Linked DNA regions of Mus musculus: regions 2, 3, 4, 5, 6 and 7 are each reported to be linked to region 1. Evidence: microRNA targets listed by miRTarBase, many of them from high-throughput screens and not tested one by one. Region 1 holds a microRNA gene; each other region holds the end of a gene's coding sequence. Distances are between the middles of the regions.
What was found. Region 1 holds the annotated microRNA mmu-miR-10b-5p (UACCCUGUAGAACCGAAUUUGUG, at 1,661-1,683, shown strand). A microRNA usually pairs through its seed, bases 2 to 8, with sites in the 3' UTR of a target mRNA and lowers its output. Matches are read on the target gene's strand: a 7mer-m8 pairs with bases 2 to 8, a 7mer-A1 pairs with bases 2 to 7 and ends in A, and an 8mer does both.

Region 1 (4,178 bases):
CCCTGGTGAGGCTGAGCTAACAGGGAAGTGAAGACCTTTACAGCTTGTAGTTCCTTCTATGAACCAGGCCTGCACACAGTGAACCAGGCTCCATGGTGAAAAATCTGGACTCCCCAGACTTTCTCTGGCCTTGCCCCTGCCCTCTTCCTTGGCACCCTTGGCTGTGAGGGCTCATCTCTGCTGAGGCTGCTTGCTTGCTGGCGCCTTGTAGCTGCCCACAGCACAAAAAGCCGGAGAGATCAAAAGCATTTGTATGGGCAGTTGAGAGGGAGGTGAATATTTAACGCTTTTGTTCATCAATAACTTGTTGGCTTTGACCTGTCTGAACAAGTCGAGCAATAAGGTGAAATGCAGGTCACAATGTCTAACAAATATGAAAATGTGTGTACTCATCTTGGTCCTCACTCAACCCATCGGACTTCCCCAATTTGTCTGGGTAAAACAGAGGTAGGCCCAGTGTCCCCAGAAAGGCCTGTCAACGTGTCCATGGGTGAAAGGGCTGGCATTAGGAGAAACTGGGGAGAGTCTTTAAACAAACGGATTTTAACCCCCTTTTTTTTTTTTAGAACTGACACCTGGGAAATCCCTGCAAAATAGTGGAAGTGAAAGATGGTGGGAGGGCATGGAAGGGCAAAGTACAGGGTCAAAGTGAGCACCTAATTTTGCCAGATATGATGAGGGGAGTCTCCCTGCCCCACCCCATCAAAATCAAGGCATGGGGCTTGAAAGTGATTTTTCGAATTATATAGGAAGGGATCAAAACAATACTTAGAAATGTGGACATCTTCAATCTGTTATCAGGCATCCATAAGCTCGGCCCAGGCCAGGGCATCCCTCTGCCCCTGAAATCAGCCCAGCCCCAGAGTGCATCTGGGCTCTTGATGCCCTGAATTGAGGGGCAAGCCCAGGACAGCGGAGGCGCTGGGGCGGCGAAATTCGCGAACTTTTGTACTCTTCTGTGCTGCTGTCGGCAAAGCAAAAATAATGAAACTTTGTGATATGTTTGTAAATGATTTCGAATGACCCCTCGCCCTGCCCTTCACCATTAGCTCGACAGTCTCAGCCCAGGGAGGCTCGGTGGCCGCAAACAGCGCCTGCCTCCGGGTCTGCAGCAGCAGTCATAGCAGCAGCAGAAGCAGCAGCAGCGGGATCCGAAAGTCCGGCGGGGCTGAGGGCCCAGAAAGGTAAATGCTCGAATTCTAGGAGGACTAGCTGTGACCACTCACTTGGCTTAGGTTCTGGTGAAGACTATTCCTTTTGCCTTTTTCAAAACTCCCTTTCTGCTGCTGAGGGCCTTTGCTTCTTTTTGGGAAATACCACTTGATAAGGGGGCGGGAGATTTGGGTTCTGAGAAGGGGCAATTAAGCCGCCATCTCTGGGGTGAAAAAAAAACTCCCCTTCTTTTCTTTTCTTTTTTTTTTTTTTAAGAAGAAGAAGGTCCTGGCTGCTCAGCTACTTGGTGGCCCCCATCCTGGCAAGCCGATGAGGGAACTCATTGCTGTAGCGAGCAGCAATACTTAGAAATGCACCGAGCCTACCTGCACCATCTCTGAAAGCCAGGCTTGGTGAGTTCCTGGTGGCTGTGCTGAAGAGATCAGGTCTGGCAGCTGCCTGAATGTCTGCTCTGGGTAGGACCCGAGGTTGTAACGTTGTCTATATATACCCTGTAGAACCGAATTTGTGTGGTACCCACATAGTCACAGATTCGATTCTAGGGGAATATATGGTCGATGCAAAAACTTCATATATCTCCGACATGGCCAGAGACTGAGGCGCGGAGAGTACTGGCAGCCCAGCCGGCAAGCCACCTCTTTCTTTTTCATTACCTTAGACTCCAGGATGATCGACTTTGCCTGGTGAAATTGTACAGCCTTTTCCTGGAGAAACTCCTATAGATATTCCAGTAGGTGCTCAAGTGGTTGTCTGAGTGTAAAGCCAGAGAGCCAGGTTTTAGGGTATTAGAGAGTGAGGTGAAAGGCCAGAAAGCTCCAGCAGAAGCCCTGCTCTGAAGGAGCATGAGACACAAAGGTACCCAAATGGGGCTCACCTGCCCTTGTGTGGGAAGAAGACAAACTGAAAGATAGGCCATCGGAGACCGTTGGGGTACATTTAGGCAAGGTTAAGGTCCCCCTCCCCACCATCCCAATATGACCCAACCCCTCAGCCACCAGACTCAGAACTGTGAGGGCCTCCTGCAGAAAGATCCAACTTCAACTAGAAACACCCCAGCCTGCGCATTGGCAGAAAAGCATAGTGGTTACTCATTGCCTAACTCAATTCAGGTCCGCCAGATTCTGGTAACTTTTGGGTGACCCTGATGAAGACAAAGCCAAGACAGGTCTTTGTATGTCAGAGTCCAGGACTCCTGCCAGCTGGCCGGGCAGCCTGCCTGCCTGCCTAGGACTCTACCCAACTCGGAGGCCACATTGCCCACACTCATTCTTCCTTATTTTGCACCCCAGTAGGAGAATTCACTCTTCTTTGAACTATGTCCATTCTGGGGGCTGCTTCAGGCGATGGTGAGTAAGGAGGGCATGGGAGGTTAGCAAAGTCAGTGGAAGACAAAAGCCGAGATTACCTGCCGGAAATTGGGACCCCGGGGATAGAATTAGAACTCTATTAGCATCTGTCAGGGACTCTCAAATGTGGCATGGCAAGTCACTTGATTACACGTATGTTATTTAGTTAAATTTGTGAAAATTATGAGATGCTCACCAACCCGGTGATAAACATGCTTTCTTCCTATTGGCTGGCCTGGTCACATGGCCGCCCAACTTTATTCAGTTGACAGCAAGTAGGAGGGCCCAATGGAAGGAGAAAAAAGACAACACGAGAAAAATTAGTATTTTCTACCTTCTGAAATTAATGGCCATGAGTTCGTATATGGTGAACTCTAAGTACGTGGACCCCAAGTTTCCTCCGTGCGAGGAATATTTGCAGGGTGGCTACCTAGGCGAGCAGGGAGCCGACTACTACGGCAGCGGTGCACAGGGCGCCGACTTCCAGCCCTCGGGGCTCTACCCACGGCCCGACTTCGGCGAGCAACCCTTCGGAGGCGGCGGGCCCGGGCCTGGCTCAGCGCTGCCCGCGAGGGGTCACGGACAGGAGCCGAGCGGCCCGGGAAGTCATTACGGTGCCCCGGGAGAGCGGTGCCCAGCGCCCCCGCCTGCGCCCCTGCCTGGCGCTCGGGCCTGCAGCCAGCCCACCGGCCCCAAGCAGCCGCCCCCCGGGACAGCACTCAAGCAGCCCGCTGTGGTCTACCCTTGGATGAAGAAGGTGCACGTGAATTCGGGTAAGGAGTGGGGGCAGCGACCTCACAGCCCTCCCGCACCACTCCTTGCATCTTTTGGCCTGCACCCCCCACCCCAGGGGTTGCGAATGGGTAGGGGCTTGTGCAGCTTCCTTGGGCGCCGCAATTACTCTCTCCATAAATTTTTATAGCTGAGGGAGCAGGCCGGGACCATGTGGCTGGCTGCTTGGCTGTGGGCGCAAAAGGGGGTGGGGATGGGGATGGGGTGGGGGGAGGACTCCATTTCCACAGCAGAGGGAACGCAGAGCAAAACAAGGACCTTTCCAAAATGTTGGCGATACCGAGCTCTTGGTGGGCCAGTGGCAAGGGAGAACCTTTGAGGAGGACCTGTGAGCGTGGGGAGTGTGTGCATGGAAGGGCTTGGGTGGGAGTGTGTGTATGTTTAGGGAGAGGGCGGGAGGGAGGAAGCTGGCCAGCTTGGAGCACAGGGGGGGCCCGAGGGCTGCGAGACGCGCCAGGAAGTGAGGGCAGAGGCAAGCCTGGGGCCTAACTAGTGGCCGGGCTCTGACCTGGCTGTCTTGTATGTTTTGTCTCATAGTGAACCCCAACTACACCGGCGGGGAGCCCAAGCGCTCCCGGACGGCCTACACCAGACAGCAAGTCCTAGAACTGGAAAAGGAATTTCATTTTAACAGGTATCTGACCAGGCGCCGTCGGATTGAAATCGCTCACACCCTGTGTCTGTCTGAGCGCCAGATCAAGATCTGGTTCCAGAACCGGAGGATGAAGTGGAAAAAAGACCACAAACTGCCCAACACCAAGGGCAGGTCTTCTTCCTCATCTTCCTGCTCCTCTTCAGCTGCCCCGGGCCAGCATTTGCAGCCAATGGCCAAGGACCACCATACGGACCTGACGACCTTATAGAAGT
Region 2 (4,178 bases), not on the chromosome of region 1:
TTTGTTACTTTTATGTGTATGAATATTTTATTTGCATGTATGTCTGTACCACATGTGTGCAGTCTCTGTGAAGGCCAGAAGAGGGCATCAGATTCCTGGGACTGGAGTTACAGATGCTTCATGCTGCTGTGTGGCTGTTGGCAGTTGAGCCCAGGTCCTCTGGGAGAGCAGTGAGTGCTCTTAACTGCCAAGCCAGCTCTCCTGCCCTCTGCCCAGCGGTTCTTACTCTGTGTTAATGGTTAGCAATGCCTGTAAGTTAGATAATGCTCTGGAGTACAGTGAGTGAACAACCTTTCTGTTTTACTTTCAGGAATATTGCCCAAGAAGCTCATTTTTTAGTTGCAGCGAACAATGGACAGTTTCACTGCTGAAATAAATGATCCAAAGGCAAATAATGGAAAAAATAGTGAATATTAAATGCTATAAGAGAGAACTTGTAAATATTCTACAGATGTAAAATATGTAAAACTACGGGTTATTTTTATTAAATGTATTTTACAATAAATATTTGTGATTTATGATTAGAGTACAAGGATAACTGCAGTCTCTAAAATGTAATTGACAGTGCATTGGGAGAGGCTTGGCATGCGATTCCTGGTTATTCTGCAGCTCTGGGTGATCTGCCACTTTAAGATCATTAGGTATAGTATTGAAAACAGAAAACAATACTGTTAGCAGTTTTGCAAGAGCTTTAGCCTACTTACTACCCAGAGTAAGCCCTGAAAAGATGGCCCTGACGCCTCCCTGATGTCCTGTCATCTCGAACTCACTACGCTCCTCCTGCACGCACAGCCAGGACCTTGGCACTGCTCATCCCATTCCTTTGACCCTCCCCCAAGGAAGAGGCCTCGGGGAGATTTGTGTTTGTCTTCCATGGTTTTGTACTGCTATCTTCAAAGAGTTCCATCTCACCTTATGGCAGCCTATGCCTTTGATCCTAGCATGTATGGAAGTGGATCTCTAAGTTTGAGGACAGCCTGGTCTACATAGTGAGCTCCAGGCCAGCCAGAGCTACGCAGTAAGGTCCTCTCTCAAAAAGCATAAATAAACAAAATAATCCTACTATAGCTCATACTATTGCTTTCTGTTTTTTACTTAGAAACTTTCTTTCCATATTAATAGATCTAAATTGAGTTGATTTAATTACCATATGATAATATAGTACATAAATAGTGTAATTTACCTGTGCTTTGTTTATGGACTATTATTTTTTTATTGCTGTATAAATTTTATCATGAACATGGCACGAATCGCCAGGCATAGTGGTGGTTTGTCCCTGTCCAAACTCGGGAGGTAGAGGCAGTTGGATCTCTCTGAATTCAGCCTGGATTCAGAGTGAGCTCCAGAGCTACGTAGTGAGGACCAGTTTGTGTGTAAAGGTGGTAGAGTATGTCCTACCATCTATGAACACCTGGCACTGTAACACATTAAAGTAACTAAGTAGCATGGCTCAACTCCTTTACAAGTGTCAAGCAAGCCTGAAACAAGGGGACAAGGTGTTGGCCATATGAGCATTCCTGGTGACCAAGGAGGCCAGAAAATGGCATTGGATCCCCTGAAACTGGAATTTTGGATGGCTATAATCCACCACGAGGTGCTGGAAATTGAACCCAGGTCCTCTGAAAGAGCAGCCAGTGCCTAATTACTGAGTCCTCTCCCACTGCACATGAACTTTCTGTATGGAACCTTTGGGTGAGCAAAACCTCACTCCTATTCTGCATTCTCCTTGAGTCTTATGGGGATTCAAAAATTATGATTGATACAAAACTCATAGAAGAAAAACTTTACAAAATTATGTAATACCCGTTTGCATGGGGCCAGGTTTGGCTGCTCGTGCCTATAATCTCATCCTTGTCAGGCTGAGTAATGACTGCCTCAGATTTAAGGCCAGCCCAGTTACAAACAGCTCTATGCCAGTCTGTCCTCAAAGCAAGCCCCACCCATCTCAAAAAGCAAAACAAGAATAGTTTTTGGCATGGGAGCCTCACAAAGGCATAGAGAACCTGTTAAGAATCAACTACTGAGCTGGGTGAGCTAGGCAGGGGCAGAGAGGTATCTATGAGTTTGAGGATATCCTGGTCTAAAAAGTAAATTCTCAGGCAGCCAGGGATATACCATAAAACCCCGTCTCATGAATAAAGACAACTACTTGTTATATTAGGAATGACTAGTAAGTAAAGAAAAAGTGCTAAGGCAGAATGGCTTGGTCCAGAAAGTTAGCTCTAAAGGGAAACAGCTGGGGAAATAAGGATCAACAGGGTTGGTTATGCAGACTTCAGCATCGTGCTCGTCCTTGGGGCTGAATAGGCATCTTTTTCCCCACAGGGAAAAAAATTATTTTGGTTTTTGTTTGTTTGTTTGTTTTTTGAGACAGGGTTTCTCTGTGTAGCCCTGACTGTCCCGGAACTCACTCTGTAGACCAGGCTGGCCTCGAACTCGGAAATCTGCCTGCCTCTGCCTCCCAAGTGCTGGGATTAAAGGCGTGCGCCACCACGCCTGGCCCCCACAGGAAAATTTTAATCTCTCTCTTTATTAACTTTTTATGTGGATGAGTGCTTTGCCTGCTTGTCACATGTGTGCTGGTACTTCGAGTTCAGAAGGTGGCAGTCTCCTACAGTTATGTGATTGTGTTCTAGGTAAACCTGGGTCATCTGCGAGAGCTACAATGACCCATCTTTTAGCCATCATCTCATGCTTTAAGAACTGCACAGTGATTATTTTATCTTTTGTGTGTTTGATAAGCATGCATGTGTGCACTCACTCCACAGCACATGTATGTCAGTGGACAACCTTGTGTCAATTTTTTCTGCCAGTGTTTTTGGGGGAAATATGTCAAGCCACTCTGCTTGCCCATGAGTTTCCAGAGACCCTTTGACCTTACTGTAGAGCCCCGGGAGTGCAGATACATGCTCCTCTTTATACTCACTGGTTTTGGGGTGTCTTTGGCAGAGTAGTGTATCTTTTTTTTTCTTTTGGGGGAGGAAAGGGTTTATTCGGCTTACACTTCCATACTGCTGTTCATCACCAAGGAAGTCAGGACTGGAACTCAAGCAGGTCAGGAAGCAGGAGCTAATGCAGAGGCCATGGAAGGATGTTCCTTACTGGCTTGCTTCCCCTGGAGTAGTGTATCTTTAACTTCTGAGCGGCTCAGTTGTTGCTCTGTTGCTATGATACAGTTCTCTGACAAAAGCGCCTTAAAGGAGAAAGGCCTCATTTTGCCTTAGGATTTCCCTTGAAATTCAGTCCACCATGGTGGAGGAGGCTGGTTGGTCGCACGGTCCTTGTACTCAGATACAGAGAATGAACAGGAGTAGGGTGGAGCTAGACAGCCTTAAAGCCTACCCCAGTGACCCAGACAGAGTGACACTTAAGCCTGCGGGGAACAGTTCACATTCAAACCACAACAGAGGTTTTAGGCAGAATCTGCTACCAAGCTCACACAGTGTTTGTAGTTTTGGACAGGGCTGTACTGGAACTCACTATGGTCTTGAACTCAGAGCTCACCTCCCTCACCTCTCAAGTGATGAGACTAAAGGTGTGCACCACCAAATGGCCTTCTTATAGTTCTTAGAAATTGTTTGGTGCTGGGATCAAGCCTAGGGCTGTGCACATAACTGATGCACACTGAGCCACAGCCTGAGTCCCAGCTCTTAGTCCTAATAGAGTGCCCTGTTGCCCAGGCTTTTGGTGCTGTTACCTCTAGGCTTAACTTTTTTCTTTCTTTCCTACATGCCTAAGCAGGTTATCTCAGGCTAGCCTTGAACTTATCCTCCTAAGGACCCCATTTAGGATGATGGGCATGCTCCATCACGCTAATGCTTGTTCTTCGTTGTTGTTTGTTTTAGTCTTTTTAAGACAGGGTTTCTCTGTGTAGCTTTGGCTATCCTAGAACTTACTCTGTAGATGAGGCTAGCCTCAAACTCAGAGATCTGAGTGCTGGGATTAAAGGCGAATGCCACCACCGGCTGGCTTAACTCTTGGGTTTTTAACATAGCTCACATTTCTTTTACTGTGTGCTCACTTTCCACAAATTAGCAATAAGTATGATTTTCAAGTCTGATTTTTCTCATGGGCCACTGTTTTAAAATGCCTTTGGTTGGGGGTGGGGTAGAAACAATGTCTACCCACCTGTTCAAAGGACAAACAAGAGTGGGATTCCAGAGTTCATACTGGGAAGC
Region 3 (4,178 bases), not on the chromosome of region 1:
CATTAAAGCTAGCTAATACTTACTAGACATAGTTGTTGAGGAATTAAATAGTCCAGTTTTACCACTCCTGTGTGTCTTTCCCATATAGGACCCTGTATCTTACACTACTCTTCTCTAACCCTTGAAGACTTTTTAGGAAATATACACAAGACATTAGAAGTTACTTTGCAGACAGACAGATTTTAATTTGTCCATTACTACTGAATATTCAAATTATTAAGTGGTCACTCCAGGTGTGATAGGAGATTCTTTCCAAATTCTTAGTAAAGTGTACTACTTTTTCCATACATAGTAAGGTGAAAACTTAATTTCTACATCTCTCAACTTCCTATAGTAAATGTATGTAAGGTCATGCATGCATAAAGACTGAGCTTCTTAGCTAACCTCTACAAAGAGGTATTACAAAAGAAATACAGAGCTAGGTCTATATAAACCTCTTACTCGGCTTAGTCACATGATGCTTGCTTTAGTGAAATGCCACTCACATTATATACAGACTCCTATATGTAGATCCAGAAAGGCCTTTGAAGTGTCCAGAGAATCACTGGAAGTGATCATTAATCTTTTTTATTGCCCATAGGGAGGTGGGATGCACATTGGTTCTACTGAATGGCTTCAGTTGATATTTGGGAAAGCTTATTTATATTAACTTCATTGAATAATTAGTGAAATGAAAAGCCCCAGACTTGTATTATAGATGATATCTCTTTATTATAGTTTGAAAATTAATTTTGTATTTTATCCTTTGCCTCTCATTTAGTGATTTCTTAGTACCGGACTACTTAAACCAGGAGCAAGAAGAGACCCTTGTTCAGTATGATCTTGGAGAACATACTTTTGAAAGCAACTCTTCTGTTCAAATGCCTGTGATTTCACAGGTCTCCTCAACCCAGAATTGTGAAAGCACTTTTCCCCTGGGCTCTCTTGGTGGGCTTACAGAGAAGGAGGAGGAACTGCATGAGCAGCCAAAGACCAGTGCTCCTGCTGAGGCGCCCAGGGATGACCCCCCTAAGGCAGAGCTGCCTGCTATAACTATTGAGTAATTCTGTGATTGGCCTGGGGTTTGGTTTTTTGGAAAGTGCCTGTGCTTGGTCTCATATGTTTAAATTTAATTTAATTTTTAAAGAAGGGTTCCCTTTGTAAACCCTAAAACTGGAGGGTTCTATGTTTTGTTTTGTTTTTTCATAGCTGAGAGATTGCTTCTGTATGTATACAATAAGGTAACATTGAAACAGAACATAAACTTTGAGACTTAAGGAAAAGCAGCTGACTTAGAACATGGCAGTTCTTCCTCCCATTGTTAAAAGTGGGCAGCAGCAGATACAAAAGAACTCAGGCTGTGGTTGACCTTCCTGAGAGAAGAGGGCTAATGAGAAGTTATTAAACAGTTTGACAAGGCCTAAGTAAATGTGTACTCCTAAGTGCAGGGTGTTATAAACCCTGTAGTTTTGGAAGTATTTGTGGTGGGTTTGTTTTTGTTTTTGTTTTTTTCAGATGAAGGTAAATAACTTCTGAAATCCAGTATATTCTTTTTTAAGCCATTTTGAATTTTCATAGTGAAAAATTAGTATCAGGCAGGTATTTCCTGTACCTTTATAGCACCACTCCAGAGGCTAAGAGGTGTGGTTGAGAAGAGTCAGGCTGCATGTGGAATGGCAGGGTGCAGAACGAGGTACGTATACCCAGCTTTGCAGAAACTCTCCTGAGACTTTCTCTTCCTGGTCATTGAATGCTGACACCTGGCTAACTAGGGCATTGCTCAGAGAAGTGTCCTCGTGTCCCACCAACAGCACTTTCATTTGCATATACTATTGTGCTGCCATATAAAGGAGAAATAGTGAAGATATTCTATATTTTATATATAGGTTTATGTATTGTTGAGGATGTCGATGCTGTGCTGTTTTGGACAAAATAAAAGAATTCTGTTTTGAGGCTACATTCTTAACCCAATTAAGATTGTTTACAAGGTCACATATGACAACAATATAATGTCCTTATTCCAAAATATTTTGAGGTATTGCCAAGTTTGTTAAAAGCTTTCACGAGATGTAAGCAATAATGTAAAAGATACGACGAGGTTGTGAGTGATCATCTGTGACTCAGACATGGAGGGAGGGATTGTTAAGACCAGAATCTTAAAAACTTTGCTACTCAGACGATAACATTTATATGATATTCTAGATTGGGATATACTTTTTTATCTTTTGCCATTAAAGCCTCTTTGATCTAAAATATTTATGAAGCCACGAGTAATGAACTTTTGTGTAATTTTTTATATAGAAAATAGCCCCAATGTTTATCGTTATGATAGCCCCTGATGGGGTTAGAAGATAAAAACAACATTTTGTTTGTTTGTTTGTTTGTTTGTTTGACTTTGGACACTCTCTTTTGTTTTGTGACAGGATCATAGGTAGTCCAGGTTGGTCCAGAACTCATCATCCTCTTGCCTCAGTTTCCCAACAACCTTTGCTACCATTATATATTATAGACACACATCACCACACCCAGATCAGACTATAGTCTTAGTCAAACACCTGATCTGACTTTTATCCCAATGCCAAACCTTACTTACTTTTTATATTATAGTAATTTGTTTCTTTAAAATTTATTAATTCTGCAATTTAATTTCTGGTTTTTTGTAGGTTTTTTGGTTTTGTTTTGTTTTTGGGTTCTTTTTTTTTTTTTTTTTTTTTTTTTTTTTCCAAGACAGGGTTTCTCTGTGTAGCCCTGGCTGTCCTGGAACTCACTTTGTAGACCAGGCTGGCCTCGAACTCAGAAATCCGCCTGCCTCTGCCTCCCAAATTCTGGGATTAAAGGCGTGCGCCACCACGCCCGGCTGAAATTTAATTTCTATCTCTGTTCTTTTTTCTTCTTGATACTGAGAATTGCACCCAGGACTTTGTATATGATGCGCACGTGCCCTGTCACTGGTCACACCCCCACCCTGAGTCCCAGTTGTTTTTTACCTGACTCATGGCTGATTGCTCCCAAGCATAGGTGGGTAGCTTTCAGAAAAACCAACTAGGAAAGTCAGTCATTTTTATTTTTTTATCATACATGATCTTTGAAAACTGTGCCTAGTAATAAAGAAATCCTAAAACTCACTAGAATCCTATTTTAGTATGGTAAATGTTCTTGGTTCTAAATTGGGTTGTTTTGTCTTGGTTTTTTTGTTTTTTGTTTTGTTTTGTTTTGTTGTTAAGAGCTAGAAAAAAGTAAAAGGAAGAAAGAAATGAGAATAAATCAGAGATGAATTGATTTGAAGAATTCTTTTTAGATTGTTTTGATTGAAAGTGTTTGAGTCTACTCTATCCTAAGAGTCGTGTGTTAGGACAGCCCTGGCAGCCTCCCTGTGAAGGACACACCTCCCTGTGGATTTTTATCCCTAGTGGCAAAGCTTGTAGCCAACCTTAGTGACAGATTTGAATATACTATGAATGCACAAATGGTTAGTTGCCTACTACCCAAACATTTTTAATAAACTTACCTAACCAGTGTTTAATATAAAATGATACAAAGGCTTTTTTCTGTTCCAATGAGACTCTACATTTTTAAGGATATTTTGTTTATGGGTCTGTTATAGGAAATACAACTGCAAGAGATAATTGTATATATAGTAATATTTAAAGTTTATTTAAAGTTGATTTAAGAGAGGAATGCCTAGATGTATACTTTTCACCAGAACATATGGAAAACATTGAAGAGATGAAAGCCAGTTACGATCCCGTCATAGAAATCACCAGGGTAACTAAACAGAGAATCATTCTTGTTTAGAATATTTAAAGGTAGCTATCTTTTGTAAGGCCAACAAGGGTACCTTTGTGATATTTAAAGGGCTTAAATTTTAGAATGCTAGATAAATTACTTTTTAAAAAACAAAGCATTTTATATAAGAAAAGCTTTGTTTTCAGTTTTTTTTTTTTTTTTCCAACTACCAAATAGATAGGATGTGCTTTAGAAGCAAAGCTCTTCCCGTGTTGTCAGGAGTCGTAGCTCCTCGTGTCAGTCTTTGCATTTCCAAACTCTAGCCTTCAGAGTGTAATGTCAGGAAATCACTAACTCAGAAACAGAAATTTGACAGTAACCTTTACTTTATGCGTTTAAATTTTTCAAGAAATGGATGTAGATAAATGTTAATATCCACTTCCCTTAATTGGCCATTTTAAACAATCCTAATT
Region 4 (4,178 bases), 91 Mb from region 1:
CTTGCCACAGTCTCTGGAGTCTTCCTTCTTTCTGACTCATTCAGTAAGCACAGATGCCTGAGGGCTGCAGCCCAGCCTCTCTTTGCCGCCTTCATTCCCAGCCCACCACGACCAACCCCGTAACTCCAGCCGACAGCTCAACCTCAAGGTGCTGCAAGGAGCTACCTTAATATTCCTCGGGTCTTCATCTGACTCTCAAGTCACTTAGAAACGGCCAACCGAACAACTGTTTTCTTTGGCAGAAGGCAGTCAGCACCAGTGAAGCCATTGCTGCCTCCCTCGGCATCCCTCATCTCCTGCCTTGTCAAGTCCACCTCTAGTTATTCCTTGACCCACCCACTTCTCTTCACTTCCTCTCCCACCACCACACACTACACCACAGTTTCCGTTCACCTACTGCCTGCACTTGCCTGCAGTCCACAAGGAGCCAGAGACTGGTGGAATGGTTAGTGTGGTCAACCTGACAGAAGCTAGGGTCACCTGGGAGACGGGCCTCGGAGCATACCAGGAAGGGATTGATTCTCTTGATCAGGTTAACCGATGTGAGGAGACCCAGGTAGCTGTGGGCAGGAACTCCTGGCCTCCATAAAGAAGGGAGAGTGCACTAGCAGGCACTGATGGCTCTCAAGATTCTATACTTCAGAACTGTGGAAACGACGTGGCCAGCTGCTTCAAGCACTTACTGCCCTGACTTCCTCACGACGGACAGCACCAAGAACTATGGGGGAAATAAGCTCTTTCTTTCTTTCTTTCTTCCTTCCTTCCTTAAGTTGCATCAGGGAAAGAAACTAAGACTGCCGGTCCCAACAGACCGGAGACCCCGGGGCTGGGTCCGCAAGTTCTCCCTGGATCCTGCCTGCCAGCTGCAACGCCACGTACAGCCGTGTGCCCGGAACATCAGCCGGCGTCCTCCTCGGCAAGGCAACCTGATGCTCTCTGCTCTGGTCCCCTTCCCCAGGACCCCCATTGCGCGTGGCACTTAACACCGCGTGACGACTGTGTTTGCTCACGTGTCCCTGCCGCGCCTGCTCGGCAGTATCCACCTGGTTCCCCCCATCCCCAAGACCCGGCCCCTCGTACGTGCTCGGCGAATGCCAGGCGAACGGGCCCAGAGCCACTGGAAAGCTGGGGAAACTGAGGCCGGGCGAGAAGGCAGGGGACCGCCCACACGCCCACTTACCTCCGCCCAGGCTCTCGCCGGGAGCCTCCTGCCGGAAGCTCGAGGTGGGCACTGTGCCTCAGGAGGCGAGACTTCCGCCGGAAGTCGGTGGGGTGGGCGGAGCCAGAGCATCTCTAAGGCGGCTACAGCAAGCTTCCCAACACGGTCCCTCTGTACCTTTCCCTTAAACGGGCACCAGGAACGAATCACAGCTACTAATAACTCTGTACAGGGCTTATTTCTTCAGGGACTTCAAGCAGCAGGGAAATGACATGACAACCATTAAATTTTATTAGTAAAACGTCCTGGCAAAGTGATAATGGACACTTTGTGACATTGCGTATGCCTATAAATTTGTGAGAATTATTCAATAGGCTGAGTACGTGAAGTTCATCGCAGAGGAAATGGAACCCAAAAGGAAGGGGGTAAGAAGGATCTAGTCTTACCGGGAGCCCAGGGAAGCAGGTTACAGTGGCCGCAGAACACCAATTTAGCACACCTGGATTTGACTCATTTCAGGTACAGAGTATGTGGGCAAGATAACCTCTAAGCCATGCAAGCTAGGGCTGCAGACCCGAGCTGGCCCAGTTCTCGGCGTCTGCTCATCCGGGCTCTACTAGGACTGGCTGCAAACAGGAATCCTTGCACATGACTTGGCTGGGCTCCTGGCTCCTAGCAGAAGGCTCAAGGCCAGCGTGTAAGCTGTGCTTTGTGCACACTGCTGCTGTAGGCTGTTGCCAGCTGGCATCACGAAAGCATTCGTTGATTCAATGCTTCCTGAGACCTACAATGGTGCCCATCGCAGCCCAAGGTCTTGGCTTCGTTCAGCCCTCAAAGCCTGCGTTGCATGCACTTTCTATGCCTTCTGAAAGCGCCTGTCCTCACCCCCTTCTGACTGAGGCAAGGGGAAGTATCTATTTTCATCACTGCCTTCATTCAAACCTCCCAGCTACCAAGGCTGCTGATGGGAGCACCAGCTTAAAGCACCAGCTGGCAAGCTGGGCACTAACTGCAGGCAACATGCGGGGTGCGGAACATGTCTTCTTTGAAAGGCACAAGTACTCGAGCTGTTCCCTGGCTGTGTCCCTGGCAGGGGAAAAAGGGAGGATGGGTTCTTGGGGGTGTACAGTATGCCTTTCCACGTTGTACCCAGCACGACTGAGCAGAAAACGCTCTGTCCTGTAGCACAAGCTGTGAGCATCCTTAGCCAGCAGGTGTGAGTAGTTTGCGCATGACAAGAGCAGGAGAGATGAGGGGAGAGGGAGATGCTCTCAGAGTGGCTGGGAGCTCTCCACATGCTCCCAGGCACACTGAAATGAAGGCTGTCAGGCCGCTCCTCACCCTTGGGACAGGGAATAAGTGCAGAGGAAGAGGTGTGGATAGGAAGCAGTCTACATGAAAGAGTATTTATTGAAAACACATCACTGACAGGAAGCTCCTGGCTGCTCTCTGGTTACACTCACAGCTCATGACTGAGAGCACTACAGTTTTGTTCTTGATTTTATTTTCCCTTAAACATTCTATCCTAAGATAGGAAGATCTTATATAAATATATATACATGTCTGTATAAGTATGGCCTATAGTAAAGAAAATATATAGTACACTCTTCACTGGGTAGTACCCACCATGCCAGGCTACCAGTACTGAATACCACCATGGTAACATGCGTCCAAGGAAAGAGGCTGTGCGCGTGGGCTTCCAGTGCTGCAGCACCAATGAAGGCCGTGGCACAGCTGTGGCCCCAGCCGCTGTGAAATCATGGCTAATGGCACAAACCACAGCGCCAGGAAGGGGAGAAAGGGAAGGCAACACCCCTGTCTGAGGCAGGAGGGAAGCAAACGGAGGGGCCTGTAACTGAGGGGGCATGGGAATATTGTGCCTCAGCAAGGAAGAGAGAGGACTGGAGGGGTAGGGGGAGCCAGAGGCCTCAGCCTGCCTTTCCCTGCAGTGTTCATTCCTAAAGCCTAAGAGAGCAGGACTCAGGCTGGAGGCCTCTGCCTGGCCAGGATGAGGCTGAGGGCTTGGGGCAAAATTACTACCTGTCCTGATACCTGCAAGGACAAGAGAGACGGGTGTCTCTAGAGACTAGACATGGTAGGGCCAAACCCCAGAGGCAGCAGCATGAGGCACAGGACGAGGCTGGGATGAGCCCTCAGAGACCTATTAAGCAGGAGCTCAAGGCCTGTTCTTGCCTGAGCCACCTGAAGACAGTCACTCCGAGGCTCTCACCGAGCTCCCCAGGCCTCTTGCCCCCATGGTCAGCCTTTCATGGACCAGCTTTGGCCCACATGGGCTCTCCAACAAACCAGAGAGGAGACTTGAAAGGAAAGGGGATGGCTGTCAGTAGGTCCAGTACCAGATGCAGATGTGACGCAGAGCGGGAGGCAGGAGCCTCATGAGTTCACCCCTCCAAGCCCGACCCAGGCTCTGTGGTGCTGAGGAGGGCAGCATGCCCTGACTTCATGACTCCTGGTGGATGGGACAGAGAGAAGCTCTGGGTCCCACTGGCTCTGAGGAGTAGTTACCACAATCACTACAGAGTTTGTACAAGTGGCGTGGGCTGCCAGTGTCTCTCCTGGGCCCCAGTCCCTTCCCGCTCAGCCATAGTGATAGACGAAGTCATAGCTGCTGGGCTCCTTGGGGACCGGAGGTGGCGCCTCGGGGATCTGAATGTTCTCCAAGTCCAGAAGCCGCAGCTTCATCTCCATGCTCAGCAGCGTGTCCAAGTCGCTCTTGGTTAGCTCGCTGGACATATCCTTCCCCAGGAGAGCGCTGAGTCCATCAATCCAGATGCAGTACTGTGGGCAAGTTGCAAAAGTGACACAGTGGCCCTGGGGGCTGCAGTGGGACTCACAGCAGTGCTGTTGGGTACCATTCAAAATATGCAAAACTCATGGGAGACAAGAGCAAGGGAAGCAGGAAGATGAGCATCATATCAACTGATAGTGTCTGGGGGATTCATGTGGGAATTTAAAAAATAATAGGAAATGTGATCTACAATGCAGTTCTGGAGACCAA
Region 5 (4,178 bases), not on the chromosome of region 1:
GCCCTGCACATAAGCAAGTGGGAGTTGAAATACAGGGCTCCTCAGCCACAAAGTGGGTCACCTTTGTTGTTCACTGCTTAAGGAACAGGAACAGAGATCTTAAGGCAAAGAGTGACATGGGAACGTCAGCATTTTAGAAAAACAACTTGCTGTCATGGCTTGTCATCCTGTAAGATGACATCAGTCACATTGTAACCTGAGTACCACAGGCAGGGTGCACAGGTAGCTGGGACCCACAGAGACTTTGGTTCCCACAGTGTCCCACTCAGAGCAGAGAACCCTCCTGCCTTCTTGTCGTCTCATCGGCATGGACAGTGTAACCACACTGTGTGTTACAATGATGCATGCCCATTGGGCAGTGCCAAGGGGCATACCTTGACCAGATACTGCCAATTCAGAGCTCAGTATAGCCAAGGATAGTACCTCAGTGCTCTCTGCATATGGCCACCACTGGCCAGGTGCAGAGCATCACGGCTCTGTGTCATCTCAATTGTCACCCATAATTGCTTTCTTCTTCTCTGGCCTGAGATGGTCATGGATTGAGGAGCAGTTGAATCCATGCCCCAGTGAGGCACAGAGAATGGAACCAAGGAGGCTAAAGAAGGGTTTCCACAAGTCCAAGGCTAGTCTGGGCTACCTAGTGAGTTCCAGGTCAGTCTGAGCCACAACATGAGGCCACATCTCCAACACCAAAACCAGGACCAAGGAGAAGCACTAAACCCTCAGCCATGAATGCTCCCAATGAATGCGCCTCATGGGTGCTGAAGCCAACATCCTAGGAGGGTGGCGAGTCTCACGCCATCTCCCACTCGGAACTGTAGTGTCCCTGGCTGTGTAATGTGGTGGGAATGATGAGGCCCACCTGGGCTGTGGATGAGAAACAGTTCAGAAACCTTCTCTAACACTCCCAACAACAATGAAGTGCTACTGAATAATGGGTGTGGGTTATGATCAGCAGAGAAGGATGTGCAGAAACCCAGGAGGGCCCTCGTTGGCCCAGAGGAGCATGGGAAGGGGCATGGCTACCTTTGACTTAAACAAGTTCCTTCTTTACATGAAGAGCAGCCCATATTAGGTGCCATACATGGGACAGAGCCAGGCTGATTTTCCAGGAGCTTTTTTGACTGAGCGTGCATCCTGGACTTTCCCAGCTGTCTCAGACCTTGATTCCAGGCTGTGTGCCTGTCTCCCCGACAGCATGTTGTCCAGTCCAGAGGGCCACTGCATACTGCTACACCACTCAAGTAGGGGAGAGGACAAGATGGTCATTTGCTTAGACTTGGGAAGCGTGCAGTTACTGAATAGGCATGGAGAAACTGCTCATGTGGGTTGCTATGGCTTTCCTTTTCCAATGTCAACAAAAACAGCACTAATGTGTAGAATCGAAGTTTGTCTTTTCAGCACAACTCATAAAGAAATTTAAAACCCTATATAACAAAAACTCCTTAAAATAAAAAGTCGACTCAGAAAATAACGCAAACAATATTACAGGTAGCACTGAGACCTAGTATGAATTTAAAAAAAATACTATTTCAAAGGATAGAATGGTGAAGGTACAAAAAAATTTATTTAAATTAAACATTTTGAAAAATCAATTTCATAACTGTTCCATGCATATTTAGTTTTCTTGAAAAAATGGAACAGAGTAGCTTAATGCCTGTGATAGTGTTTCACGAGATTATTAATATCCATCCGGGACTGGGCACCAGTCAATTACATCATCAACAATTCACTATTTGTTACCAAATGGTATATACAGTAATAGCATAAAGATTAAGTATATCTTATAAGTGATATTATAATAAGACTTCTTGGGGATCTGTCAACAATACAAAATATAAGGTGGACATAATAGCAGAATATAAAAACACATTTCATAAAGGCAATAATATACACGTGTCCAAGGGCAGACAAGAGTCTGTTAGCTCAGTGTTTGGTATGTTCCTTCAAAGGAGGTTTAGAGAATGGAAATGTCTGGGGTGCGACCAAAGCTCAGAAACATCTTTGGGTGTCACAGGGTGTTTGTTTGGGACAGCCAAAGGACTGTGGGATAGGTGATTGTTCTGATGTATCCACTTGAGAAACAAGAACCAAGTTCCCTTCACGCCCAGGGGAATGGTGCCTGGGATTCCAAGCGAGGGGCCCTTTGAATTAGGGGCCAGTTTGGAGGGAGAGTAACAGAGAAGAGAGAAAAGCCCTCCTGGGAGCAAGGGGCAGCAGACATTGGGCAGAGAGTCATCTTTTGCATCTGTAGATAAGAGTATGCTACAGCTCTGCTCTAGAAATCAGCACACCCCAACACTTTTGTGGACAGACGTTTTAGGTTTCTAGCTCTCTGGTTCATTCTGTGATGAGGGGATGAGACATTGTCACAGTTGAGAAGAATCTAAATCAGGGTACACACCTGGGGCACAGTGTTGGGAATAGGCATGCCTGCATAAGGTCATTTCTCACACTGTAGTCGCCTGAGATGTATGTAACAAAAATAATGTATCTAAAGTATATATTAAAAAAAAATCCAGGCTGGGTGTGGTGCCACTCACCTTTAATCCCAGTACCCAGGAGGCAGAGGCAGGCTTACTTTTGAGGTTGAGGCCAGCCTGGTCTACACAGTGAGTTCCAGGGCAGCCAGGGTTACACAGAGAAACCCTGTCTCAGAACAAAACAAAACAAAACAAAACAAAACAAAACAAAACAAAACAAAACAAGTTCTAATCTGATTTTGCTTTCAGTGATGCAGTTGAACATACTCATTAATTTTCCGAACCAGGGTAGATCTTTTCCTTTAAAAAAATTACATTTAGTGTGTGTGTGTGTGTGTGTGTGCATGTGAGCATGCTCAAGCACACATATAATGCAGGGGCACACGTGCATTTGGAAGTCAGAATACAACTTGCAGGAGTCAGTTCTCTTCTTCCACCATGTAGGCTCCGGATATAGAACGTAGGTCATCAGACTTGGCAGCAGGCAGTCTTACCCACTGAGACATCCCACACCATCTTGCCAGACCAAAGGTGAATATTTTTCTCGACTGAAGGAGTTTCTTTGGAATTCTAGGGTGGCTGTGGACAGTATTATAGGAAAGCAGAAAACCTGGGTCCTTGGGCAGTCATTCATTCATACTTTCCTTGGCCTTGAGAGGGCTGTAACTTGGAGATCCATAGAGCGAGGGCTTGGCTATGAAGCCAACCCTCACTGTACAGGAGAGAATAGTCAGGGCTGGTCAAGCCAGAGTGGGGTTTTGCCAGTTAGAGACTGAACTGAGATGGACCCCAGGCCCAGGGTCCATCTTACTGGGAGCACCACAGATCAGAAGTAGCTACACCAAAAGCAGGAGCTCCAATGCACTGGGCTTCTTCCCATCAGCTACACTGATGGTGTAGAGCGGCTAGGAAATCCTACTGCAAACAGCTCCCAAGGCTGTGCTTCCTTGATGAAGCCGACAAAACACATTTAAAGGGACAGAAGGAGCGCTGGATCCTGGCTTTTGACCGGAAGGCTCTGGAACAGCAGTTTTGACCTCTTGCCACCAAGGAGTGGCATCGCCACAGTTTCTGCTCAGCTCAGTGCTTCATAGGGAGGAGGGGATGGCAGGGCTGGGCCAGGCTCCATTCCTCCAGCTCTATGACACACTGTAGCTGTTGTAATACGTGGCCGTGGCATCAGCCAGGACTGAGATGAGGCTGGTCTCTGTAGGGCCTGTGGGAGTCCCCTGGGAGAGCGGGACATGCCCAGTGAGGGTTCCAACCCCTGCAGCAGAGTCAGGGTGGCCGGGAGTGTTCAAATACTGATCAAATTCATTGCGATCCATGTCTCCCAGAAGTTCCACCTGGCTTAGCTGATCCAAGGTGTCAAAGCCAGGGTGCTCCGGAGGTGGGGACAGCTGGCCCAGGTGGGCCTGGAGGTTGGGGTGGAGAGGGTGGTAGGTGGCATGGGAGTAATAGGCTGGAGATGGGGGACATCCAGAAACAGAGGACATCATAGAAACCCCTGGGGATTGGCCAAGGGCTAAAGAACCTAGAGGGTGGCTGCAGTGGAGGGGACTAGGTGTGAACTCCGGTGAGTAAGGGGGCCCTGGTAGATGGGGGAGGTGATGGGGGTGACCATGCTCCTCCTGACATGAGGACGAGAAGAAGGTCTGCTCTGGCTCCAGCGCATCCAGGGGCGACATCTCCGGA
Region 6 (4,178 bases), not on the chromosome of region 1:
CCTCAGCTCTAGGGAATCAAATGCCACCTTCTGGCATCCGTAGGCACTGCACCTTATGTGTATATACCCCTACACACATATATGCAATTTAAAATTTAAAATGTTTGCGGGTGAGTAGATGTGGGGTTCCAGGGGCCCCTGCTGTCTTCTCTGACTCTCTCCTTTCCTCTCTTTACAGAATCCCCTGGTTGAATCCCAGGCAGATGACAGCTCTGAGCCCCTGCCTTCCATACTTGAGGCGGCCCCCTCCTCCACAGAGGAAGAGATACATTATGCGACCCTCAGCTTTCACGAGATGAAGCCCATGAACCTGTGGGGGCAACAGGACACTACCACGGAGTACTCAGAGATAAAGTTTCCACAAAGGACCGCATGGCCATGACCGTGGCTGGAGAAAGCATGGTGGCCCCAGGAGGCTGGCTCTGGAGAAGGAAAGAGTCACCTAGGTTGACATGTGATACACAGGGCTTCAGAGCCATTCCTTCTGTGACACAGGCGTTCTGTGCTGCCCATGCCCCTGTGCTGCCCTGTCCACACAACTGCTATTGTGCCCTGGGAATCATAAGCTTGACCTTTTTACTCCTCTTCTCCCCTTCCCCTCCTTCCCCGCCCCCTCTTCTCCTCCTCCTCTCTCCCCTCTCCTCCCCTCTTCCTTTTGTTTTTTCCAAGACAGGGTTTCTCTGTGTAGCCTTGGCTGTCCTAGAACTTGCTCTGCAGACCAGACTGCCCTTGAACTCTTCTTTCCAAGTGCTGGGATTAAAGATGTGCACCACCACCCAGCACTTGACTTTATTGTAACTGTATGTGTGTGAATGTTTTGCCTGCACGCAGGCCTGTGCGCCACCTACATGCCTCCTGCCTGCAGTGGCCAGAAGAGGTCATCAGACAGTTTGAAATTGGAGTTACAGAGGGTTGTGAGAGGCCACATGGGTGCTAGGAACTGAACCCAGACATCTGTAAGAGTAGCCTGTGCTCGTAACTACTAAGCCATCTCTCCAGTAATAAGATTGACTGTTTTAGATCTAATTTTTACTTAAAAATTGGCATATATTATTTACACAGTGATAGACTTTGCTATATTTTCTTCCAAGTGTATCACATATTTTGGCCATGTTCATCCCCTTCTCCTGTTAGCATCCTATTAGTCGCTAGGCTCCTTTCTCTCCCCAAACAATCCCTTTATGGTTTCATGTTGTATGTATTAGCTACTTTTCTTGTCTTTGTTGATAGGATGCTGACAGAAACATGAAGGATAGGAAGGTTTATTCTTGCTCATGGTTTCAGTCTATCATGGCGAGGAAGGCAACATGGTGCTCAAGTGAGTACATGTAGTGGAGGCTCCAAATCTTGATGAATCAGGAAGCAGCAGGCTCAAACCAGAACTAGATGTAGGTATCATCTTCCAAGCCCAGTCCTAGACACCCACTTCTATAAGCTGTGCCTCATGTCTGAGAGATCGCAAGGCTTTAGAAAATACTGCGACCAGCTGGATACCAAATGTCCAAATATGTGGGCCTTTGGGGACAATGTACATTTAAACCCAAACTAGATGGATGATAGATAGATAGATAGATAGATAGATAGATAGATAGATAGATAGATAGATAGCAGAAAGAAAAGGGTTAGTAGATGATATATAGATAGATGATAGAAAATAGAGACATAGAGATGACAGATAATGATGGAAAGGTAGATAGATGATAGAAGATAGATGCTATATAAAAGGTAAATGGTAGATACAAGATAGATGATAGAAAAAAAGATGACAGACAGACAGACAATTTGGCAGAGATGCTGCTCCACTCTGCTTTGCTATTGGTGATGCACCACTGAACGTAGCTCAGAGAAAGTGCAGATAGCAGTGCTGGATACTGAGGGGCTGCCAAACGTGCCTTAACTCGGTTTCTTTTTCCTGGTTTTTAAAAACAGTGCATATACTTTGTGAGAGAAAAGCACTTGAGAGCAAAACATAAAGAAGATTCTAACGTAAGAGGAAATACTGATAATACTTAACATTTTTGCAAATGTTCACTTGCATGTGAACATAAAACTGGACTGAATCTGTATTTGTGCCTATCATTGTTGATTAATCTATACTTTTTTATTTGGGTTTTTTTTTTGAGACAGTGTGGTGGTTTGAATGAAAATGTCACTCATAGGAAGTGGCATTATTAGAGGTATACACTTGTTGGAGGAAGTCTGTCACTGAGGGAGGGTTATGAGGTTTCTGCAGCTCAGCCAGGCCCAGTGTCACCCTCTCTCCCTGCTCCATGCCTATCCAGATGCAGAACTCTCAGCTTTTCTCCAGCACCATATCTGCCTGTCTACCACCATGCTTCCTGCCATGATGGTAATGGACTAATCCTCTGAACTGTAAGCCAGCCCCGATTAAAATAAGAGTTGCCATGGTCACAGTGTCTTTTCACAGGAATAGAATACTAACTAAAACAGACAGGGTCACAAGTACCCCAGGCTGTCCTAGAACGTGCTATGTAGCTTAAGATGACCTTGAACTCCCGAACCTCCTGCTTCCAGCTTCCAAAGCCTGGGATCATGGGCATATACAACATACTTTCTTATATATTCATATATATTTTCAAGTGTGTGTGTGTGTGTGTGTGTGTGTGTGTGTGTGTGAATGCAGTTCATGCTGAGTTCAGATGAGAGCATCAGATAACCTGTAGTTGGAGTTACAGGTGATTGTGAGCTGCCCAACATGGGTGCTGGGAGCCCAACTTGGGATCTTTGCAAAGGCAGTATATACTCTTCCTCCAGCCCCTGATCTGTTCTTTCTGTTTCTGACCCCATCTCTGTGCCTCTGTGGCCCTATCAGATGTAGCTTTGTGTATTCATCTATAATTAGAAGGCAACTACCTTCCTCATTGAGAAGCCTTTCTACCAGTGTGCTTCTTAAACCTGTGTGTAGGACCCATTTAAGCAACTGACACCAGTTGTCTGAACTTAAAATGGCTTCATTTCTCTGTCATTGGTATCTGCGCATCTTTGAAGAATCTTTCAAGATCCCCTAGTGTCAGAGTAAGGATGTGGAGCTGGAAACTGGGGGGATGGGGGGCGGTGCCTAGAATTAGATCCTGGAGCTCTTACACGATCTGCCCCAGCTTGGCCAGCTCTGATTAGCAGATGGTATTAATGGCCAGGCTCCCTGTGATGTCACCCCTTGTCCAGGTCCCACAGGGAGTCTTCCAATTTATCCAGAAGCCCAGATTTCTTCAGCTCACTAAACCTGGGATGGTTCCCTTCCTGGAATGTTCCAGAGACACCTGGTGCTGGTGCAGTTCAGCCGGTCCCCACAGGAGACTCATTCTCCTTTGTCTCTCTCCATCATCTCCTTGCCTAGTTGGTCTGCCATGGACACTTATGACAAGTTTTTCCTGTGGGACGAAATGAGAGAAGTCACATCTTGTGTTCATAAAATCCTGGGAAAGAAATTATTGTAGATTTGGTTTAACGCTTATATTAACTGGGTTCCTCAAATTACTCGAGACACTGAGTCCCTGCCCCCAGTTGGTTCTGATTGGTAAATAAAGTTGCTGGCAGCCAATAGCTGGGCAGGGAGACATAGGCAGGACTTTAGGATTCTCAGACAAAGGAACCAAGGTAGAGGAAGGAAGAGGATCGCCATGCAGAGAAAGGAATAAGATCCAGGCTTGAGAGCATCAGAAGAGAGAGCATACTAGTCATATAAGAGCCAGGAAAGAGCACCCCAGGGCCTCCCCATTGGGTCTAGGGTAACAAAGATAGAACATAGATTTTAGTAAGTAATAACTCAGGAATATCGGAAGGGAGGTGTTAACAACATGAAAGTTTGGGAGTGGCACAGCCATTGAGCTGTTTAAGACATATTAAAATAGAAGGCTACATGTGTGTCTTTCATTTGAGAATCCAGAACACTGAGGTGGCAGCAAGAAACTCATGGTGCCATGGCCATGGGGCGATTTTGAGTAGCACTAACCACCTAATGCAACAAGAAATAAATAAAGTGATCCAAATCTTCCCTCTACACACTTGCCGGTGGAAGAGATGAACCTGGGGCTTAACCTCGGTGCCTAGCGTTCCTAATATTTCCACCCATGCTTTTTAATATTAATTTATTTTAATGTCAGGAAAAAAAATAATTAGCAAAACCCATCTGTTCTAGCTTCAGTTCTATTGCTGTG
Region 7 (4,178 bases), not on the chromosome of region 1:
GTTAGGTAGCCTGGGGCTCGTGGCCAGCCTTAGTCCAGTTGGACTTTGTCTGTAGTACCCTAGAAAGAGGTTCAAGGGTAGTTGCTTCTTCCTCGTTCTGGGTGAATTGTCAGAGATGTCAGGCAGTTGGTTTCCTGTCGTGAGTATTGTGTTCTCTGCCTTTCCTCGTGCCTTCCGAGATGGCTGTTCAAGGTCCTGGATGGGTTATCCTTGCCAGTGGTCCTGCACAACCCATCCACTAGAATTCACCGTCACTAACTACGAAGCAAAGCCACTGGGCCATGGCTGTTCTTGTGCCCGATTTGGGACCTTTCTCCCCAGTGGTAGATGATGGGTGGACATTACTGCCTCATGCTCTTGCCCGGTGTGCAAGGAAGCAATGGAAGAGACCTTCCTCCTACAAAAAAAAAAATGCTTTCTCCCATAGCAATTCAACATGTCTGGGTTTCATGTGACCCGGGGCAGGGGTCGGGGCAGTGGGGGACAGGGCTGCAATGCAAGCTCTCACCTCATCTTCTTCTCTAAGGTCCCTGGGGGAGGGAACAGTGCTGGGTGGCTCAGGCTCAGGCTCAGGGAGGAGGGGCTTGCTACTTCCTCCCAGAGAGCAGGGGATAGGAAACAAAAGTCTGTGCAGACCTTAGGATGAGAGTACAGCTTCTGTATTTAAGGATGTGACAAAGCTTTCCCTCCCCTGCAGAGAGCTCCCCCCTGGGCCGCGTGGTAGTGGGCCCCTACATGTACACCCGTGGCAAAGAGCTGGAACACTGGGGGGAGATGCTTCGCAAGCCGAAGGAGCTGGTGAAGCGCTGGCACGCACTCTGCCGCCCCACGGAGCCCTGAGCCATTGTGTCCCCATCAGGATGTGCGACACCACACCGTGGACATCTCTAACATTCAGTGGTGCACTGTGGGGCTAGCCTGAGCTCATGGGTGTTCATGTGCAGGAAGGAAAAGGGATACAACCCAGTTTCAGCCAGTATCTGACCAGGAGCCTCTCCCAACCCACCTAACCCCTCCGGATCTGCAGGGCTCCTGATCATCAAGGTCATGACCTCAAACAGGATCTCAGAGATTGAGAACTGATATGTTTGGTGGAGCACAGCTGCACATGAATGGGAGCACAGCACCAGCTAAGTCTCGCCACCTTGGAAAGCTGGTGGTGGGTTGAGTCCACTGCTGCACTGTTTTTCAAGCTGGGCATTCTGTCTTCCACCCAGTAGAGTGAACTGTGGGCCACTACAGGGAGAGCCCTACTGAGCAGCCCAACCACATACCAGGAGGTCAACGAGGTGGTCGGCACAGCTTGCCACATATCTACTCCCTGGAGCCATATAACCCAATGCAGCCAAATTTGCATGACATCTTGAGCACAGCCATCCTCTTCAGGATGCCACACCTCAAGCCCCACTCCAGGTGATCTCTTGCTGGGTTTCATGGTTACCTGGTTATCAGAATTTGGGCATTCATTTCCTAACTCTTACTTTGGACAGGTGAATCCATGGGACCATGGTATTGTGCACAAGATCGATGACTGTGACAAGAGGTATAAACTTCATTAGGTCAGTGGTCCCCAGAATCAAAGTCGCTGTCACCAAATGCCCATTAGTTGATCTAGTGAGCAGCCACTGTGCCTGTTATTTCTCTGTGTGTCTGTACCCTAAGCTGCAGACAGGCAGACAAGACCATGCACTATACTTAAAGCTGAACTCCCTGCCTGTATCTCTCTTGTCGTCTGCAGTGAAGTGACGGGAGCGTTATCTGTGCCTCTTTAGGTCCACTTCTAATGGCTATCAGTACGCAAATATCAGTTCTGCCTGACTGGTCCAAAAGAACACACCATCTTATTTGTTTCTTTCTCTCTTACTTCATGTACATACTTTCAGAGTGACTCACACTGCAGTGGCTTCCAATAGCTACACACACACACACACACACACACACACACACACACACACACACACGGAGATTCTTGAAATAGAACTACAGTGTTTCATCTGGAACCTGGAGGCCATGGATGCCACCACACTCATAGTCCAGCGTGAGACTCGTGATTTGCAGTGGTTTTTCCCTGGATGACCAGGGAAAGTTGGCGGACTGGTACATCTGACAGGCCTCTGAGAAACTGTAATGGCAAGAAATCAGCAGGCAGTGTGCTCTGAGGAGTGACAGGAGGAGCAGCCATATTGTAGGGACATGTGTAGACTTAGAATGGCAAAGAGGCATGCAGGTTTTCGTGGGCCAGTGTGAGCTCGCAGGGGCTGTCTCAGATCCTGTGACTCTAGAAGAAAGTTTTACAGTCCCACAGAATATCTTAAAATAAGGTGATCAGTTTCTCAGAAAAGTATACAATTTGATCCAATTTTATTTAACACATACTAATATGAGAACCCTCTGACAAATGTAGGTTATTCAACTTTCAATCCGTTAGCATGATATGTTTATCCACTTGTTTTACTTTTTTGGTTTTTTGTTTGTTTGTTTTTTGAGACAGGGTTTCTCTGTATAGCCCTGGCTGTCCTGAAACTCACTTTGTAGACCAGGCTGGCCTTGAACTCAGAAATCTGCCTGCCTCTGCCTCCCAAGTGCTGGGATTAAAGACGTGCGTCACCACCGCCCGGCCACTTGTTTTACTTTTAATAAGAGGGTTTGGGGATTTGTAGGAGACAGAGGGGTCAAGGGCACGACAAGAAAACTTACAGAATCAACTAAGTTGGGCCCATAAGGGCTCACAGAGGGTGAACTACCAACCAGAAAGCCTACATGGGTCTAGCCTAAGGCCTCTGCACATATGATATGGTATAGCTGTGTAACTGGGTCCTTAAGTGGACAGCAGGGGCAGGTGCTGTCTCTGACTCTGTTGCCTGCCTTTTGGTCCCTTTCCTCCCACTGGGCTGTCTTGTCTGGCCTCAACAGGAGAGGATGCACGCAGACCTGCTACAACTTGATATGCCAGGCTTCCGTGGGAAACCTCCCCTTTTCTGAAGAGAAACTGAGGAGGAGTGAGTGGGAAGGGAGTCGGGGAGGGGACTGGGAAGAGAGGAAAGGAGAAAACTGTCAGATATAAAGTAAATAAATTAATTAATAAAAAAAAGAGAGAGGTTTGAGGTTTTTTGTTGTTGCTGCTGTTATTTGTTTGCTTGGCTGTTTGAGGCAGTGCCTTCTATTTAAATCTTTGGCTGGCCTGGGGCTCACTATGTAGACCAGGCTGGCCCCAACCTCATAAAAGATCCACCTACATCTGCTTCCCAAGTTGAAATTAAAGGCATGCACCACCATGTCCTGGTTAAGAGTTTATTTACATTCTAGTTTTAAATTTTGAATTTTCATAATGCACAGGAAAAATATTTTTCTAAACATCTTTGATGTTTACTGTATGTGCGATCTTAATTGTAAAAAATAATTGAAGCTCTGTGAAACACAAGGATCTTGTCTGTTTCTTTTGACCCGCATCATAGCTCCACTGTGGGGCTTCAGAATATAGCTCTGTGCACATCAGCATAGTACAAAGACAACCCATGTGTGAACCCATGTGGAAATAAGCTTTATAATTACTATACAAATCTCTGAAAGAACATCCTGCTATAAACTTGATAAAGCATCTTACAGATAGTAATCAAACATATAAAACACAAACTATAAGAAATGTTAGCTGTGAGGGCAATTAACTATAAAAAAAGAATTAAAAACCATATATTCTTCTTAGATAGGCTTTTATTTTCTGAAGAAGATACTTTTTAAAATGAAATAGGGCTAGAGAGATGGCTCAAAGGTTTTTCCAGAGGTCCTGAGTTCAATTCCCAGCAACCACATGGTGGCTCACAGTCATCTGTAATGAGATCTGGTGTCCTCTTCTGGCCTGCAGGCCTACATTCAGGCAGAACACTGTATATACAATAACTCTTTCAAATAAATAAATCTTTTTTAAAAATCATGAAATAATAAAAAACAGCTATTATAATAATTTTTAAGTTAAAAACCTTAAACTTCTGTGTATGTGTGGGTGGCTGCTTGTCTTGTGTGTACACCATATGTATGCAGGTGCCCAAGAAGGCCAAAAGAGGGCACCAGAGCTCCTAGGAATGGAGTTACCTAATGTGGGTGCTGGGAACTGAACCCAGATCCTCCCGAAGAGCAGCAAGTGTTCCTAACTGCTATGAGCCATCGCTTCAGCTCCATCA

Region 2: the mRNA of Cdk7 is a reported target of mmu-miR-10b-5p. Seed matches in the 3' UTR shown: 7mer-m8 at 2,255-2,261, 7mer-m8 at 2,371-2,377 and 7mer-m8 at 3,856-3,862.
Region 3: miRTarBase lists Zbtb44 as a target of mmu-miR-10b-5p. Seed matches in the 3' UTR shown: 7mer-m8 at 2,707-2,713 and 7mer-A1 at 3,741-3,747.
Region 4: miRTarBase lists Elmo2 as a target of mmu-miR-10b-5p. The part of its 3' UTR that is shown has no 7-base or 8-base seed match.
Region 5: the mRNA of Sox7 is a reported target of mmu-miR-10b-5p. Seed matches in the 3' UTR shown: 7mer-m8 at 2,647-2,653.
Region 6: miRTarBase lists Siglece as a target of mmu-miR-10b-5p. Seed matches in the 3' UTR shown: 7mer-m8 at 670-676.
Region 7: the mRNA of Syt15 is a reported target of mmu-miR-10b-5p. Seed matches in the 3' UTR shown: 7mer-m8 at 2,488-2,494.

Annotation. Positions count from the first base shown.
Region 1 is chr2:74,724,414-74,728,591 of GRCm38, forward strand. Mir10b (microRNA 10b) reads left to right here and starts at 1,657; the gene lies at 1,657-1,724. The region is part of intron 1 of Hoxd3 (homeobox D3); the gene reads left to right. It overlaps Hoxd4 (homeobox D4), which reads left to right. Exons shown (of 6, transcript NM_010469.2): 4 at 1,050-1,565; 5 at 2,463-3,292; 6 at 3,849-4,178. The coding sequence starts at 2,866. The coding sequence ends at 4,174.
Region 2 is chr13:100,699,639-100,703,816 of GRCm38, reverse strand. It overlaps Cdk7 (cyclin-dependent kinase 7), which reads left to right. Exons shown (of 12, transcript NM_009874.3): 12 at 311-4,178. The coding sequence ends at 339. Among named protein-coding and RNA genes, the nearest start is that of Cdk7, 29 kb to the left of the region's middle.
Region 3 is chr9:31,067,985-31,072,162 of GRCm38, forward strand. Zbtb44 (zinc finger and BTB domain containing 44) reads left to right here. Exons shown (of 6, transcript NM_001115130.1): 6 at 761-4,178. The coding sequence ends at 771. Among named protein-coding and RNA genes, the nearest start is that of Gm17508, 13 kb to the right of the region's middle.
Region 4 is chr2:165,286,604-165,290,781 of GRCm38, forward strand. Elmo2 (engulfment and cell motility 2) reads right to left here. Exons shown (of 21, transcript NM_080287.2): 21 at 1,428-3,958. The coding sequence ends at 3,758. It overlaps Slc35c2 (solute carrier family 35, member C2), which reads right to left and starts at 1,235. Exons shown (of 10, transcript NM_144893.2): 1 at 1,181-1,235.
Region 5 is chr14:63,948,104-63,952,281 of GRCm38, reverse strand. Sox7 (SRY (sex determining region Y)-box 7) reads right to left here. Exons shown (of 2, transcript NM_011446.1): 2 at 1,550-4,178. The coding sequence ends at 3,623. Among named protein-coding and RNA genes, the nearest start is that of Sox7, 6.5 kb to the right of the region's middle.
Region 6 is chr7:43,647,690-43,651,867 of GRCm38, reverse strand. It overlaps Siglece (sialic acid binding Ig-like lectin E), which reads left to right. Exons shown (of 7, transcript NM_031181.2): 7 at 179-798. The coding sequence ends at 382. Ceacam18 (carcinoembryonic antigen-related cell adhesion molecule 18) reads right to left here. Exons shown (of 6, transcript NM_028236.1): 6 at 2,573-3,392. The coding sequence ends at 3,355. Among named protein-coding and RNA genes, the nearest start is that of Siglece, 10 kb to the left of the region's middle.
Region 7 is chr14:34,227,342-34,231,519 of GRCm38, forward strand. It overlaps Syt15 (synaptotagmin XV), which reads left to right. Exons shown (of 8, transcript NM_181529.4): 8 at 698-3,080. The coding sequence ends at 840. Among named protein-coding and RNA genes, the nearest start is that of Syt15, 9.4 kb to the left of the region's middle.